3 linked regions of the Arabidopsis thaliana genome follow. The protein of the gene in region 2 interacts with the protein of the main gene of each other region in a pairwise test. Each region holds a gene or a part of one and is shown on either strand. Other genes may lie near its edges.

Region 1 (4,476 bases), on a different chromosome or scaffold from region 2:
ACGGATTTTGAATTTATATGGAGATACAGATCCACAGAGAAGAAGAAGAACATTTCATTTTACAAACCAAAGGGATTGTTACCTAAAGACTTCCATTGCTTAGGTCACTACTGTCAGTCTGATTCTCATCCTTTGAGAGGTTATGTACTTGCGGCAAGAGATTTAGTGGATTCATTAGAACAGGTAGAGAAACCTGCATTAGTGGAACCTGTTGATTTTACTCTTGTCTGGAGCTCAAATGATTCAGCAGAAAATGAATGTAGTAGTAAGAGCGAATGCGGTTACTTCTGGTTACCGCAGCCTCCTGAAGGGTATAGATCGATCGGTTTTGTGGTTACAAAGACTTCCGTGAAACCTGAGTTGAATGAAGTTAGATGTGTTAGAGCTGATCTTACTGATATATGTGAACCCCACAATGTCATTGTCACTGCTGTTTCAGAATCTTTAGGTGTTCCTTTGTTTATATGGAGAACTCGGCCTTCAGACCGAGGAATGTGGGGCAAAGGTGTCTCTGCAGGTACTTTCTTCTGCAGAACTCGGCTTGTTGCTGCTAGAGAAGATCTTGGTATCGGTATTGCTTGTCTAAAGAATCTAGATTTGAGTTTACATGCGATGCCAAATGTTGATCAGATTCAAGCTTTGATTCAACACTATGGTCCTACACTAGTCTTCCATCCTGGTGAAACTTACTTACCTTCTTCTGTTTCGTGGTTCTTCAAAAATGGTGCAGTTCTCTGCGAAAAGGGAAATCCAATCGAGGAACCTATCGATGAAAATGGTTCGAATTTGCCTCAAGGAGGAAGCAATGACAAGCAGTTTTGGATTGATTTGCCGTGTGATGATCAACAAAGAGATTTCGTCAAGCGAGGAAACCTTGAAAGCTCGAAACTTTACATTCATATTAAGCCTGCTCTTGGAGGAACGTTCACGGATCTTGTCTTCTGGATCTTCTGTCCATTTAACGGACCAGCAACCTTAAAACTAGGACTCGTCGATATCTCATTGATCAGTATTGGCCAACACGTCTGCGATTGGGAACATTTCACTCTCCGAATCAGCAATTTCTCTGGTGAGCTTTACTCAATCTACTTGTCTCAACACAGTGGCGGCGAGTGGATCGAAGCATACGACCTTGAAATCATTCCCGGAAGCAACAAAGCCGTTGTTTACTCTTCAAAACATGGTCACGCAAGCTTTCCTAGGGCTGGGACTTACTTACAGGGATCGACAATGCTTGGGATTGGGATAAGAAATGACACTGCGCGTAGTGAACTCTTGGTAGATTCGAGCTCACGGTACGAGATCATTGCAGCGGAGTATCTCAGCGGAAACAGTGTGTTGGCAGAACCGCCGTGGTTGCAGTACATGAGAGAATGGGGACCAAAGGTTGTGTACGATTCAAGAGAGGAGATAGAGAGATTGGTGAATCGATTTCCGAGGACGGTTAGGGTTTCGCTTGCCACAGTGCTTAGAAAACTTCCGGTGGAATTATCCGGCGAGGAAGGTCCTACAGGACCAAAGGAGAAGAACAATTGGTATGGCGATGAAAGATGTTGAAATTCTCACTGTTGGGAAACAGATGTGGTGAGATTACCATCGGAGCCCTAACTGTGTAACTTGTAAAGGAAGATGAAGCTTTGATTGCGCAAGAGATTAATTACACAATTAGCGTAGGATTAACGTAAAACTTGTCGTTAGAAGTGTATACAAGTGGGTCCCATCATGTATTTAATTAAAATAATAAAGTTATATAGACGAACAAACCTCCACCAAACGCAACGCACACATTCGTGTACCGTTTCCGATTTTTCGTTCCTCCAATTTCATTCTCTCTCTCTTTAAGAAAAATTCCTTGTTTTTGATCCGAGAATCGAAGTCGCCCTCGAATCAAGATTAAAACCTCGTTTAGTTCTCAATTTCAGTTCTGTGGATCCGTGCGTGACCTCAAGTTTTTTTTTTTTTTCTGTCTCGAAATTCAGAATCGTAGAGGTGTTGAAAGTTGAAACCTTTTTTTTGGTTTGCTTGGTTAATGGGTTTCTTCAAACTTGATCGATAATTGGATTTGAATCAAGGGTTTTAGTGTTCTTGCTTTGTGTATTCGTTTGGCAATTTGGGATAATGAATGGTTTGCAAGAAGTTTGTTCGTCAAGTGGGTCGGTGATGATCGGACTACCAGCTGAAGAAGACGAAAACGCCGCACATTCGTCGGAGGATTCATCTTGCCCCGACGAGTCAGTGTCAGAGACAGAGCTCGACCTAGCTTTGGGTCTTAGCATTGGTCGTCGGAAGGTTCGATCGTCTTTGTCTTCCTCGTCTTCTTCTCTGACCAGGGAAAGTGGGACCAAACGCTCTGCTGATTCTTCTCCGGCTGCCGCCTCAAACGCAACCAGGTAAAAAATTCATCTTCGAGACTTTATATTATAACCTATATGAATGATTGGTCTCAGATTGCTTATTGTTACAGAATCAAAGCAACTTAGAGGATAGAGCTTTTAGACCTTAAACTTTGAGAATGAATGAATCACAGGATTGAATCAAATAGAGTGTTCCCTGAAATGTTTAGTTAAACTTTTGAATCATATTGGTTTATACTTGTTCGTCTTTTGATTTAATATCTTTTGGTAATGGAGCAGACAAGTTGCTGTAGGTTGGCCGCCTCTACGGACTTACAGAATCAACAGTTTGGTCAATCAAGCAAAGTCTTTAGCTACGGAAGGCGGCTTGAGTTCTGGCATTCAAAAGGAGACTACAAAAAGTGTAGTGGTTGCTGCTAAGAACGATGATGCTTGCTTTATCAAATCGTCCAGGACTTCTATGCTTGTGAAGGTGACAATGGACGGAGTTATAATTGGAAGGAAGGTTGATCTCAATGCTCTGGATTCTTATGCAGCCTTAGAGAAAACTTTGGATCTAATGTTTTTCCAGATTCCTTCTCCTGTAACAAGTCAGTTACTAATTCTGTTTCATGAGATTCCATGTGATTCTGTTTTTCAAATTCTGTGTCTCTTGAAATTGACTGGTTTTGATTGATCGATTTGTAGGATCCAACACACAAGGATACAAGACAATTAAGGAAACATGTACTTCGAAATTACTGGATGGCTCATCGGAATATATCATAACATATCAAGATAAAGACGGAGATTGGATGCTTGTAGGAGATGTTCCTTGGCAGTAAGTGACTACCCTTATAACTTCCCATTCATCATCTGTATTTGTAATGTGGCACATCCATTTCAATGAAAACGATCTTTTCATCTTCTCAGGATGTTCCTCGGGTCTGTGACAAGACTGAGAATCATGAAGACATCAATTGGAGCTGGAGTAGGTAAGTAGAGAGTCCTATATAGCAAAAACAGTTTACATCTCTTTGGTCTGTAACTCATATATCACATTCACATATATACATGTGCATATGTTTATACATGAGTGTACATATGTCTTGTGGTCGTTTGTGAATATCAAACAACAGCTTAACCTTGTCTTTAAAGATCTTTGTATATTTAGGGTTTTTCACTCTATTGGTGCCTGATCCAATATACCACTATAACAACAAAGGCATGCATCTGGATTAGGGTTTAGTGATGAAATCAAGCTACAGTAATATGATAGAATCACCAGTAGTTTCATTCCCTGGAAAATGAAATACAGCTCTTGTGCGTACAATAACAACAATCAATCAGCTTCACGAGGTTTTCTTAGCATAAAAACCTAATAAACCTAACACAGTCTTGAAACAGAATGAAAAACGTTTTCCTTCATTGGCTCAGTTAGTCTTCAAGGTTACAGAGATTGGACTTCTAACTCGCTGCATCAGATTATGAGAGTTGACCCAAGTCAACTGCCCTTGTGCAAAGCTAGCCACCTTCCCTCCTCTGTTTTTCTTCTTCAATACAAACCATACTCTATAGCTCAGCGTCTGATCCACGTGTTTGAACACAAGTCTCTTAGGATTGACAATAACTTTGATCCCCTCTGGAGCCTTGACATTCACTGAGTATATCGAGTTAGGACTCCCAACGTTAGTGACACGCCTTGTGATCATCTCCGTAGTCTTGCCACGTTTGAAAATCACGGCTATCGACGGGTAATTGAGACTAAAACCCGGGTTTTTCCGCAATATTCCATTGCAGCTCACGTTCTTATGAGTGATTGCTAAAATATCTGATCTTGTGAATCCAAGAGTGCAGAGGTAAGTTATGTAATCCACTGGTTGAATGTTGTAAACCAATCCCGGGTTTATCGCCTTTTGCGGATTCACATGCCCTGCTCCAATCGCAAACACACCGGCTGGTTTGTTACCATCCTTTATCGCTTTCCCTTGACGATCGTACAAATCCGCTGTTGTCATCAATGCGGATTTGATTGCAGCTGGAGACCAGTTCGGGTATGCAGACCGGATAAGAGCAGTGATTCCGCTAACATGTGGACAAGACATTGAAGTTCCTGACATTACAGTGAAGTTAACTCTTCTTG
Region 2 (8,020 bases):
TTGTGAGAAACGGCGTTGGGATAGATCTTTGTGACGATGATTCTCCGGTAATCATTGCGTCAACCGGCGGCGAATTCATAGGATTTTAAGCGTAAGTTATAAAAACAAAAGTGTCCCCTGAAAGTCACGAAAGCAGAAGAAGAATAATGTAGGAAGGAGTAATATGTAATAATGGGGGTTAAAAGATCGAGAAGCAGCGTAATGTTTTAGGCTTCAAGAAACTTCCTATGGAGTTGCGTGTTTATTCCCTCATATAGTGTGCCCCAAGTGGTGAGGTCCCACATTTTGTTTACTTTATCCTATTGTTTATTTGGAATTTTGGAAAAATTAATAATTTTGTTAGATTGTCTGCTTTGATGTGTCATCCATATCAGACCTATCACTATATGTGTCGATGGTAGAATTACAAGGAGCTAGAGAACCACTTATTTAACTATGCAGTTTTGTATTGTTGTAAGATAATGGCATAAACTGATACAATTGAAAGTTTTTCCATAAACTCAGCAAGTTTGATAAAATGTTTGTTGTGTTTCTGTGACGATTGAGATTGTCGGCTTAAGGCGGTAGTATGCCAGAGTTGCCGGTGTTGTGTGTTTCATATGGTTTAAAGTCTTGATTTAGATAGAGTTCTACCTAAATACAAGTTTGGTTATGAAGAGCCATATGATAGAATGAAACCATAGATCACGAAACTTTGATCATGTGTTTGCCATGGTGTCATCTTTCTGTTTTTCAGCGGATTCGTTTATATGGACATGAGCATAGCTAGAGAAATAAACTTGAAAACCCAAACCTTGTTTTCCTCATTGTTACAAGGGAAACAACAAATTTTAGCATCCAGTTTTTTTTTCAAAGTACTTTAAAAAGAGGGCTCACTGTTTTGCTCATTGCAAGCTTAATTTTCAGATTGTAGCTAGAAACATCCGAATTTATTTAATGTAAGGATTCGAAATGGAATCCGTTTGTTAAGAGGTCTTACAGTTTCGTGAATATATCTATATCACCGTCTAATACGAAAAGCTGCAAAATACCGACAAGACCAGACCAAAACCAAAAGTCAGCAAGAGAATAAGTTGAGAAAATGTGAATCGACAAGATAATTAAAAAAGGGCAAGAGCTTGAAAACTTATGTACATTGGGATTAATATAAACAATAAAAAGACTTCAAGAGATCTTTGGAAGAAGGAAAAAAATACATCCATAAAAAGAACCGATACCAGCCTCCGACTACAACTCCACACCATCATATTCTACTTATAAAAGAGCTTTTCATATTCTACTATATAATACCTGTAACCTTTTTATGTTTTACTTTATAATATCTATTAATTATTATTAGATAGATAATAAGGGTGATGGAAGATGCTAATTATCTAAGTGGCCAACAAAATACTTCAAAAATTGCATTTTTAATATCTTATCTTAAACCCATCATCCCATTTTGCTCTCCAGTCTCCACCAATCGACCCCCATCCTGCTGTCATTAACAGAACAAACATCAGTCGAATGTAATGACATAAACTTTTGGCTGTGTCTCTAGTCTACTAATATCTCAAAAGCTTTTACATACCTCGGCTTGCAGCAAAAGGGTTGTTGGTTATTTTGTTTGTTTAAGAGTTCCCAGCGCTGGACAATGAAGGATTTGATGCAGACTTGGCGTCCTTTGCATCTGATCCTTCCCCAACAACTGCTTCTTCCTCGCTCCTACAGCTTAAAGTCCCCGGGTTCATCTTCCTCACTTCCTCTTTCGTGTATATGAAGATTTTGCGAACCATGCAACAAAACTCCCTGCAAGAGAGATCATTGTGTCAGTGTTATAAGAAAAACACTAACATCGATATAAACTAAGATGGAAAATTTGCAAAATCTTACTGCCAAGGATCGTCACCAACAAGCATCATATCATTCTCTTCATCTGTGTAAACTATCAACCAATCTTTCTTAGGAGCCATCAACTCTCCATTGAACTCAAACAGCCTGTCCAGCTCAGCGACTAACTCCTCATAGTTTTGGAACTTTGAAAGATCCACTGAACGGCCAAGTGCAATTCCCTGCTTGTGAACCTTTACATCAATGTGTCATGTGTTAGTTGAAAAGTGATTCAAGGGTTATCACAACCTCATACACTTTGTGCTACATATTGCAAAAATTTACCTTTGTGCAACTCCTACTTGAGTTGGTTTTCGTTTGAGCATCCTTCGGATGAGGATTATTAGTCTGGAATGGTCTTCCCTGTTCACGATGATCGTTTGTTGATTTTGACCCTTTTGACTGATCTGAAAGGTCCTGAACCTTTGGTGATGCTATCTGTGTAAGCCCCGCAGCATCATTCAAGTTGTTTCTCTGAGACATGGTTGAGTCTGTCCCATTCATGTTGTTGGTCAGAGGAATGCCAAAGAGCCTGCAGTTCCCTTCTCTTGACTTTGCTGTCTCCTCTTGTATCGTGAAGGGTTGTTTTGTTACTTGCTCCCTAGCCTGAGCTTGCGCTTGAGCATTGACCACTTCCTCATAATAATTCAAAGCACGTGGACGTATTGGCCAGTTACCACCAGCATTCTCAGTCGATAGACCATTAAGAACAGGATATTCGCTGTATTTAACATTGCATCGCCCTTGGAGAGACGCATCAGTTGCTGCAGGTACCTTAGGAGATTCATGTAACTTCAGGGAGAGACCAGAGTGTATCATCTGCCACTGGTTAGCAAGATAATCGAACTTGCCTTCTGAATCACTCAAGATTCTCTTTGCAGGCATAGAAGGTGATGATGAATGGTCATAAAAAGGTATCCGCTGACCATGGGATGGATCTATGTTAGTCCCAAAGCCGGAGAGCAAATCTGTGTAAGTAGGTTCATGCCTGGCTGAGGACATCCAGTTCTCAGATCCATATCTTCTAGAACCCGAAACCACGTCAACCTTATCATCATCCGCTGAAGATTGCCAGACAACAGAATTCTCAGGAGCATCACACTCTACACTCTCAGTATGTTTCGTCCTCAAGGTCGAGTATTCTTGACCTTGCAAGACCCTTGAAAGTCCGCTTGCTGGTAAAGGGTCCATGTTTGCCTTAGTTGTACCTGTTTTGTGTACAATGAATTAGACTCCCACTGACAAGTTCAATTAAGTTTCAGACGCACTACTATGTGTACTACAGTGGAAGGGGAAGACATTACCTTCTCTGGTAAGCATCGAAGAGTCAGGAGATGAAGGTGCTATATTTGATCTGGGCCTCTTAGGCCTAGGCATTGGAACAGGACTCAAAGCAGGAGGAGCAAGAGCTGGCTCTACTTTCCACGGAGATACTCTATCAGGTCGAGGAATACTAGAAGTCTCATCCCATCTCACCTGAAAGACAATTGAACAATCAGCATTCATTATATTCAAACAATAGTCTTGATCCTCTCTAGAAACTAGGTCATACCTTGAGGGATCTCCACTTTGATTTTGGCCACCTAGTAGGATCAGACTCTTCAATCCCAACGATTGTGCCAGTAAACCTAATATAAATCAATACAACTTGTTAGGTTCGTTATTCCAAGAGAAAAAGGCTCAAGAGCTAACATATTTCAAAAGCAGAAGACAGGTTTTACCTCTGCTCAGGAGCCTCTTCGCCTTCAAATCTCATTTTGAATCTCATGCCAATAGAGTAGTTATTCTTAACAGACTCCATATACTGATCGAACGGAACAATAAACTCAGATGGGCTCGTCCTGTATTAAACAAAACAACACCGCATGAAAATTTAGTAGAGTGATTCACTACCAAGCATCAGACATATAGAGACATACAAAGCAAAGAGCTCAAAAAACTGAAAGCTGTTTTGTGAGCTAATACAAATACAAACCTGGGTTTGTAGTAGACTGTAAACATAGTCCCTGTTGAAATGGCATGCCATGCGGTGGCCAGTACTCCAAGATGCATGCTATGGCTAGATATAACAGAAGACGGCACGTTTCCTTGTTGTCGCATCGCACGCCTTACACCAACTCTTAATTCTCCATTCTCGCCCCTGTAGAAGATTAAGATATTCCACATTATAGAAACTAACAGATACAGCTAAAGAAAACAATGAACTAAAATCCACAAACCTTAGAAATATAAACGCATCGCCTGCAACTAGCCTTTTGGAGCTAACAAACACACTCCACCCACTCTGTAGCAAATGCCTCCGTGGTTGACCTGGTCCATTATCACAAACATCAACAACCAGATAAGTTTGATGACACACAGACTCGAGAAAAACAGAAAATAAAAAAGTTACAGATTCCTATACCCCGGAATATATGTCTGAATCGCCACTCATTTGCATGCAAATCCTTTGCAACTAACTCTTGAGTGGGAGGCTGTCGAGACATATCCTGAGGGAAGAAACAAAAAATGAATTGAAGGCAATCTTAGAACAAAATTCAGGAAAAATAAGCCAATGAATAGATAGTTAGAAGCGCAAATGAAACACCAACCAGAGGTGGGAGACATTCATCCGCATGTCGCCTAAGAACAGAAAATCCACCATGTGTACTTGTGTCGGATGCAGTCAAGGTTTTGCAGAACGAATGCACCTGGAACCTCGGAGGTGGAGGAAGAGGCGCTTCTTTCTCAATTGCATTCTCGTCTTGCTGTATGGAACAAAAAATATATAGAATTCAGCATCTTGAAGAATAAGATCACCTCTACAACACTCAAACCAATAAATCAGAAAACAAAACTTACATTAGCCTCAGGAAGAAGAGTAATCTGCGCATAAACTTCATCTGTATCTGCCTCTGCCTGTAAAATCATAAACAAAACTCTTGTTAGCTGACAATCCAAGACACAGAAACCAAAATTTTCCAAGAAGTTAAAGAAACCTACCTTTAAATCTACATTAATAACTCGACAGAGAAGCTTTGACGGAAGATCATAGAGAGGCATCTGTTGTTCTGCCGCCTGGTTCGTCGAAGCCTCCACCTAATCATAAAACAATGGAAACCGACAAAGTTCATTAGAAAATATCTCAACAGGTACGAATCACAGAGGGGTTAACTCAAAGATTTAGCCAAAAATAGCAAGAACTCATAGATGAAATATCTCACCTGCTCGATGTGTCCTTGAGGAAAATAGAAGACTCGGTCGTCTTGTCTAGGAACCGTCACAAGCGGACCAGCACAAGCGTGCCATAGCTCTCTGTAAAGAGCAGCCTCAGGGTCCACTATGAAGACGAAGAAGAAGAAGATAAATTAGATCAAGTCAGTCTGTAACCAAAACCAAGCTTAAGAAACCCTAAGAAACGGAGACTTACAAGCACGCTCAGCCGCAGCGGATCGGGTAGAATTACTTTTTTGCCCCTCGCCGGCGACGGAGACATTTCTAGTCTCCTTAGGGTCACTAAAACCAGAGGAGGAGAAGTTATCTCCTCCACGATTACCTTTCATTGAAACCTCCGAACTCGCCATACCTTCCGAAGCTCAGATCTGTTTCATCTGGTACCAAATAAGCCTCTAAGCAGACGATATCAACAAGAAATCTCCAAATCCGTCTCTGAAAAAGCTCAAAACTCGCTTCGGTAGTCCACTTGATTCCTTCCTTTGTCTTTATCTCACTAACAAACACAATCACCACTAGTTTAGCTCCTTGACATTACTCGATAAAACTATCAGAGAAGATAAACCCTAGAATCAAACGATAAAACCACCAATTTCACCTCAAATTGCCTCCGATTTAGAGATACGACAACTCCAAAGCTCTCTCTCTCTCTCTCTCGCCGTCCTCGCTAGTCTAGGCTTTATCGGAGTCACAGACGCTTGAATACCGACGACGAGCGATTTTCTCTTGTTTTGTCTCTCAGAGTTTGTCTCTCTAACATTCTCTCTCTTTTTATTTCTTCGTCTTTCCTATCCTTTTGTTTTTCTGGGTATGAGGCGACCAATGGGCTTAACCAGAGGTAGTCAAAACTCAGCTTCAATCATTTCAACCGCGGTAAACTTCTAACCCATATGGATAACCGGCATTCACCGGTTACCATTCCCTCTTTCATACCGGCTATTACCGGTTGTAACCATTTCCGGGGGACCAGGGTCTGCGACCTCACAAAACCAAAGACAAGTGACGATTTTATTTTCTTTCCTCCACTTTTTCTTATTTTTTAATAAAGCCTTTTCAATAGAAAAAATTGACATATCCTTTTCTAAAATTTAATTTTTTAAAAAACAAATTGGAGAAGATAAATTGAAGAAAAGACCCAAATTGCAGACATTTCCAAGTCGTATTTCCCCAGAAATATAGCAATTTAAGTCATCCTAAAATTGTTGACCAAAACAATTCTTGAAAAAACTATGGTCTGGTAGTATTTATTTACTGGTGACTGTGAGTTGAATACTTTTATTTATTTACAGTTACTGTGAGTTGAAAAATAAATACTCAAGTTGCCAAAAAAAATCCATTAGGGGAGAAAATAAATTAAATGTGTAGAGGGGATTAGCAAGTAAGAAAGGCTGCTTTACTTTTTTAGATGGGACTAACGGCGTCAACAAGTCGTGAGCAAGCGTCAACTTTTGATTGGGTAAAGAGGATAACGGTGTTTGGGAAAGAGAGCGTCAATGGGAAAGGTGTTGTGTTTTTATTGGGAAGTGGCTTTGTCGTGCTGTGAACAGGCAGGTCTGGGTGGACGTAGAGAGAACGAGAGAGGGAGAAAAATGCTACGTGGCACCAGAAAAATATGTGCATTTTAGCATTTTAAAGATATTTCGGATGTCATTTTCTATGGTCTTTTGGCTATCGTGCGCCTCTAGGAATTTTCGTCTCGTGAATCTCTCGTACTTTAATTTACCCTGTTTTTCTTTTTATGGAAAAACAAAGACGTTTCATTATCTGTTTTTTATTTTCTCTAATTCAATTACAACTCAGATATATAAAAGATCGTCGAATATTATACGAACCTCAACCATATTTATGATATCCTGATGGCAGAACAAAAAATACGAAGCCTTAACAGTCATTCGATAGTTATTTTAAACTAGTAGTTGATTTTATCTAAAATCATTTGCTGAACAACTAAATTAACTCTTGGATTACCACTTAATACAGCTGGCTAATGGGATGAATCTGCTTCAAAAATTAAATTTCCGTATGCCCCGTCATAATTACATATTTACATATATTGTTGTAAGTGGAAGCGTTAAAAAGGAAGAAAATCTGGTTTATAGACAAGAGTTTATTGTAGTCCACTCATACAGCTGGCAAATAAGATTAATTAGTGTTCCTAAAAAAAAATTAAGTCCAAATTACGAATGAATTAAATCAACCTTTTTCTTTTATAGTAGTATCTACTAAAACGTTGGCCATGTTCTTTTGTTGATTGCTGCGTCAGCTACCTGCGACCCAAAAAAAGTTCTCATCTCTTTTTCACTTTCATTTCTCATTTTTTTCATCTCTGCCGCATCGACTGTAATTCGGCCATTCCGTAGACGCTGGAATTTTCAGCGTCTCAAATTCCCTTTCTCCTATCTCTTCAGATCTGTCGCTGCGACTCTTTCATTCATCTCACCTTCATCTCTCTTTCTTTTTTTCTTTATATTTTATACCGTCGGTGCTTGTCGCAGCGATAAACAAAAGAACAAGGTAAATATCAAATAACTAATCGCGACAAAACTTTTTATTTTCTTCTAATTATTATATATCGTTTAATATTTAACACACGCACACTATTTTGCACAAATTATTTTTAACAACACGTAAACTATCTCTCTGTGAAACACAAAATCTATTGCAAAATTACAAACCATGAAAATCAAATTTGGAAAAAAAAAAAAATCAGGATAACGATGGAAAATAAAAAAGAAGACTGTTCAGCAATAAGCCAATAACACGTCACACGCGATATGACAAGGAAAACGAGACGATACAATATTGAGAGGAAAAGGACGAGAAAATGGGGAGAGGAAATTCACGTGTTGGTAACGCACTTGCTAAGAGGTGTGGGACCCAAGAGTACTGTGTAGCATTTGTGTGTGGTCTAAAAGCAACCATTGTAGGAATCTTTGTC
Region 3 (4,440 bases), about 17 Mb from region 2:
TTATTGAAAATGGGGAATTTTGTTGAAGTCGTCGTCAGATTAAAGAAGACATGGAAGCTACGTTCCAACTACTTGGTTTAATTAGCTAATAAATAAAATTATTAAAAAAATGTATCACCATTATTGTCATGTAAGTCATGTTCACATTCACTTTCCTTTCGCACCATAAAATAATGTGACTTGACCCATAGCTTTGCTTGACTTGTACATATGTGACCCCTTACTCAATATAGTACTAATACCTATACAATATTTAACAATTTGCTAATAACAAGAACAAAATACATGTGGGCAACGTTTCACAGATCAGATCAAAGTCACGTGCGAAAGTTTATATATATATATATATATATATATATATATATATATATCTCTTATGTGTTGATATCTATCAATTTACATTAACCACCCGCAGAAGAAGATAGGGTTGTTAAATTGATGGGTAGATAGAACTTAACATTCTTTACAAACTTTGTAATTTGTTGTATAGTTTCATGAATGGTGTTAATTCATGGCCTGAAAATACCATCGATGTATACAATCTGATAAGGATAAATTGTTTTGGATTGACCATCTATTAGTTTTAAAATATGATTGTATAACTTGGATTGGTTAGCTTTCAGATTATACTATATATTCAAAACAAGCTTTTGTACGTATATTATATCATTTTATCCGCTTAAAATGTAATTACTAATTTTTCTTTCATATAAGATTCAAGTTTACCTAAAGAAAAAGGATTCAAGATTACCAGTTATCTTTTGCAAAGCTTATTAATTATAAATTCTTAAAATTTTAGATTAAATTAAAATATGGACCGAGTAGCCAACGAATGAATCTCACATCACGGCATAGTTGACTAGTTGTTGTTAGTATATAATATAATCAACATTGCTGCTTCGTTCTGACGTCAATCTGCTGAATCAGCCCCTTCAACAAAAACTACGTCATGGGGCTGACGTCGAGTGTCCGACGAAACTAATGCCGTTTTCATTGGTGCATTAGTCGCCACTCGCCAGCTACATCGCAATTATTTCTCTCTTTAAGCGTTGAAAAATTGTCTAGATCTTACTTGTTAATGTTATTCTATTACCTAATAATTATCTTTTGTCTGGTCTAAATACTTACATTTTTATTTAAAATCTGAACCAAAACTCACCAAAAAATTAGATAATTTTACCATTAAAGATATCCACGACTAGTGGAGTATTTTCATTACAAAAAAATGAATTGATCATATCATATGTGTTCGAAGCTTATTATATTGAGCAAAAAAACATTATTTGTACACGTTTCATCTTTGATGAGGTAAACATTGCGATGGACGTGTAAAATATGTTATACTTTTTTTTTTTGTGAACATCCAATCTATTACATACATTTGTTTTTTTTTGTCATATGAACGTAAAATATATTATTTTCAAAACTCTATATTATTAGTTACCGTATAAATTATAATTAAAACCACCTATCAAAATATTAAATAAAAAATATTTAACGATATACAATCAACAAAATTAAGCAAACAAATTTATTCTTAAATTTCATCTGCTATATATTTTCAAAAAAAAAATAAAAAAAATTGCGACACATATTGAAATGGAAAGATTACAAAAGAAAATTTTAAAATCATTGCTAATTTGGGGTTTATCATAGCTCATATCTCTCTCTAATATATCTGACTTTGTAGAACACAGTTTTCTATTAGATTCCTCCTATCTTGAAACCTTTTAGTGTTCTGAAAGGAGTAGTTTTTAATTTTTAATCTTTAATTATTAAGCGAACCGCGTAGATTAGTGTAATAAGAGAAACAGATAAATTCTGAAACAATTAAAAACAGATTGTATATAATTAAGTGAGCCGCGTACTGGGAAAGGTATATAAAATAAACTCTGTTTCCTATACATCATGACAGATCATATGCTAATGTCAACACCTAATCTATCTTTTTGTCTCTCTTTATTTAGATTCACGCATATAAGTCTAGCAGAGCACATGTCCTATATCGAAATTATAATTTATCATTGGCTTCTTAAAATATAACCTAGTGTATGTAAATTATATTTGGTAAACCCAAATTGGCAAAGTCATTTGGGAACGTGTATGTACGACTAGTCCTATAAATTCTGATCTCCCTATCCGTTCAAAAGTTTATAGCACAGAGAAGAGACTTGAGAAAAAGAAAACAAACAAGAAACACATACACACACACACAAGTTCACTATACTCTATGGAAATGAACTCCCCACACGAAAAGGCGGTGCAAGCTATCCGTTATGGCCATAGCTGCGCCATGCGGTTGAAGAGGCGGCTCAACCATCCAATGGCTGATGGTGGACCGCTTTCAAGTTATGATCTTGCTAAATCGATCGTTGAAAGTTTTTCCAATGCCATTTCAATCTTATCTGCTAAACCAGAAACCGAAGATGATCAGTTTTCTGATTTATCTTCTAGGGATTCTTCTCCTCCTCCACAGGGGAGCCCCTCCAAGAAAAGGTATACACTTATGAGTTTGTTTTCTTTTTTGAGTTTGTTTTTGTTTTTCCAAATGAAACCACAATTCTTAATATAAGTATTTTTTTTCTTAGGAGTATATGTTGATTTTAATGCTAATATTTTGATAATACTCATGTTTGCAGAAAGATTGATAGTACAAATTCAAGTGAGAATTGGAGGGACGATTCACCGGATCCGATTTACTACGACGGGTATCTTTGGAGGAAATATGGTCAAAAGAGTATAAAAAAATCTAATCACCAAAGGTAAGAAATAGTATAGCTAATCATATTTCATCATAATTATTTCTATCCCGATCACTCATACTAATTGGTGTATGATGATGGTAACAGGAGTTACTATAGATGTTCTTACAACAAAGATCATAACTGCGAAGCAAGAAAGCATGAACAAAAGATCAAAGACAATCCTCCGGTTTACCGAACCACTTACTTTGGCCACCACACTTGCAAAACCGAACATAATCTAGATGCCATTTTTATTGCCGGACAAGATCCCCTAGATGACTTTAAAAGTACCCAAATGATCCGATTCGGAAAAGATCAGGATCAGGAGAAGGAAAGCCGCTCGAACGGTTTCTCCTTATCGGTTAAGCATGAAGAAGATATCATCAAAGAGCAAGCTATAGATCAGTACCGTGAGATAACCAGTAATGACCAAGATTGTCAAGATGTTATAGAAGAATATCTATCATCACCATCAGGCTCTTATCCTCCTTCATCGTCATCTGGCAGTGAAAGTGCTGACTTTAATTCTGATTTGTTATTTGACAACCCAGACTCGTGGGATCGTTATGATCAGTTTTACTTTTGATTGCACTAGATTTTTCAGCTAAAACTATTTAATAATGTTTTCCTTTTTATGAGATTGTATATATTTGAGAATTGTGACTATTTAAGTATTTATGTTATTGATTAGATAATCCGAGAACAATATTTATATTCACCCCTAAGAGTTTATTTCCGGCCAATAAAACTCTATCATCTAATAAATAAATTAAAAATTCATTTGATTATAAAATATAAATTTCAACCACTTTTTGTGTAAACCTAAATCGATCTATAATCTCGTTTAATTATAAAATCTAAACTCTCATTCATCTTTAAAAGCTCAAAACCGACATTTTAACCTTGTTTAATTGTAAAATATAAATTCTAACCATTCTTTCTAATCCCAAACTCACATTTAACCTCGTTTAATTGTAAAATCTAAATATGTTTATAAACCAAACCCAACATTTAATTTGACCTCGTTTATTTACAAACTAAACCATAATTCTCCTTTACAAACTCATACCAACATTTAACCTCGTTTAGTTTTAACGTCTATAATCCTAACCATTTTTTCTAAACCCAAATTGATATATTTAACCTCGTTTAAAAATGTAAAATGTAAACCTTTTTATAAACTCATACCAACAATTAACCTCATCTAGTTGAAAAAAATCTAAACTCGTTTATAAACTCAAACCTATATTTTATCTTGTTTAATTATTAAATTTTAATCTTAACTATTTTCTTATAAACTCAAACTAATATATAACTGTTTTTGGTGGCAAATTAATTTTTATAATTTAATATTTTTAATTAAGTGGTATATTATGATTAGCAAAATAAAATAGGGTGAATAACAAAGTTTAAATTCCTGAGGGTGAACCGGATTTGAACCGAAGTATTTTTCATATTTGGAGCAGAAGTAGAATATGTAAAACCGGATTTGTTTGAGAAAATGTAATATTTACAAGGGTTTGATTTTTCTTGCTATTGGCCGAAGCACACACATCTTCTTGCGTTCGGTCTATTCAAAATGATTAATAGAAAATGAAGCTTGACACATTGAAAGGATAAAGAAACTAGAAAACATTATATGCTAATTATGAAACGATTTGCTTGATACCAAAAAAGAAACGATTTGCTTAAAAAC

What was found. The genes of interacting proteins can lie anywhere in the genome.
Region 1: the proteins of ARF2 (region 2) and IAA10 interact in binary tests that used the Arabidopsis thaliana proteins (3 or more experiments, as listed by UniProt).
Region 3: the proteins of ARF2 (region 2) and WRKY38 interact in binary tests that used the Arabidopsis thaliana proteins (3 or more experiments, as listed by UniProt).

What each region holds. Positions count from the first base shown.
Region 1 is NC_003070.9:1,057,691-1,062,166, forward strand, and holds IAA10 (indoleacetic acid-induced protein 10), read left to right. Parts: upstream 1-1,779; 5' UTR 1,780-2,039; coding exon of another isoform or gene 2,040-2,118; coding exon 2,119-2,390; intron 2,391-2,592; coding exon of another isoform or gene 2,593-2,633; coding exon 2,634-2,944; intron 2,945-3,041; coding exon 3,042-3,174; intron 3,175-3,266; coding exon 3,267-3,336; 3' UTR 3,337-3,519; downstream 3,520-4,476. Other genes in the region: AT1G04090 (vacuolar sorting-associated protein (DUF946)), read left to right, coding at 1-1,557; SDD1 (Subtilase family protein), read right to left, coding at 3,767-4,476. UniProt on the Arabidopsis thaliana protein: Aux/IAA proteins are short-lived transcriptional factors that function as repressors of early auxin response genes at low auxin concentrations.
Region 2 is NC_003076.8:24,908,271-24,916,290, reverse strand, and holds ARF2 (auxin response factor 2), read right to left. Parts: upstream 6,101-8,020; 5' UTR 5,681-6,100; exon of another isoform or gene 5,579-5,680; 5' UTR 5,433-5,578; coding exon 5,279-5,432; intron 5,189-5,278; coding exon 5,073-5,188; intron 4,948-5,072; coding exon 4,852-4,947; intron 4,768-4,851; coding exon 4,711-4,767; intron 4,617-4,710; coding exon 4,461-4,616; intron 4,359-4,460; coding exon 4,274-4,358; intron 4,180-4,273; coding exon 4,089-4,179; intron 4,010-4,088; coding exon 3,845-4,009; intron 3,711-3,844; coding exon 3,591-3,710; intron 3,498-3,590; coding exon 3,422-3,497; intron 3,346-3,421; coding exon 3,174-3,345; intron 3,078-3,173; coding exon 2,155-3,077; intron 2,064-2,154; coding exon 1,873-2,063; intron 1,789-1,872; coding exon 1,611-1,788; 3' UTR 1,571-1,610; intron 1,478-1,570; exon of another isoform or gene 1,475-1,477; coding exon of another isoform or gene 1,418-1,474; 3' UTR 896-1,417; downstream 1-895. Other genes in the region: HSFB2A (heat shock transcription factor B2A), read right to left, coding at 1-79; AT5G61997 (uncharacterized protein), read left to right, coding at 7,907-8,020. UniProt on the Arabidopsis thaliana protein: Auxin response factors (ARFs) are transcriptional factors that bind specifically to the DNA sequence 5'-TGTCTC-3' found in the auxin-responsive promoter elements (AuxREs). Could act as transcriptional activator or repressor.
Region 3 is NC_003076.8:7,494,498-7,498,937, reverse strand, and holds WRKY38 (WRKY DNA-binding protein 38), read left to right. Parts: upstream 1-1,947; 5' UTR 1,948-2,230; coding exon 2,231-2,496; intron 2,497-2,639; coding exon 2,640-2,762; intron 2,763-2,849; coding exon 2,850-3,330; 3' UTR 3,331-3,483; downstream 3,484-4,440. UniProt on the Arabidopsis thaliana protein: Transcription factor. Interacts specifically with the W box (5'-(T)TGAC[CT]-3'), a frequently occurring elicitor-responsive cis-acting element.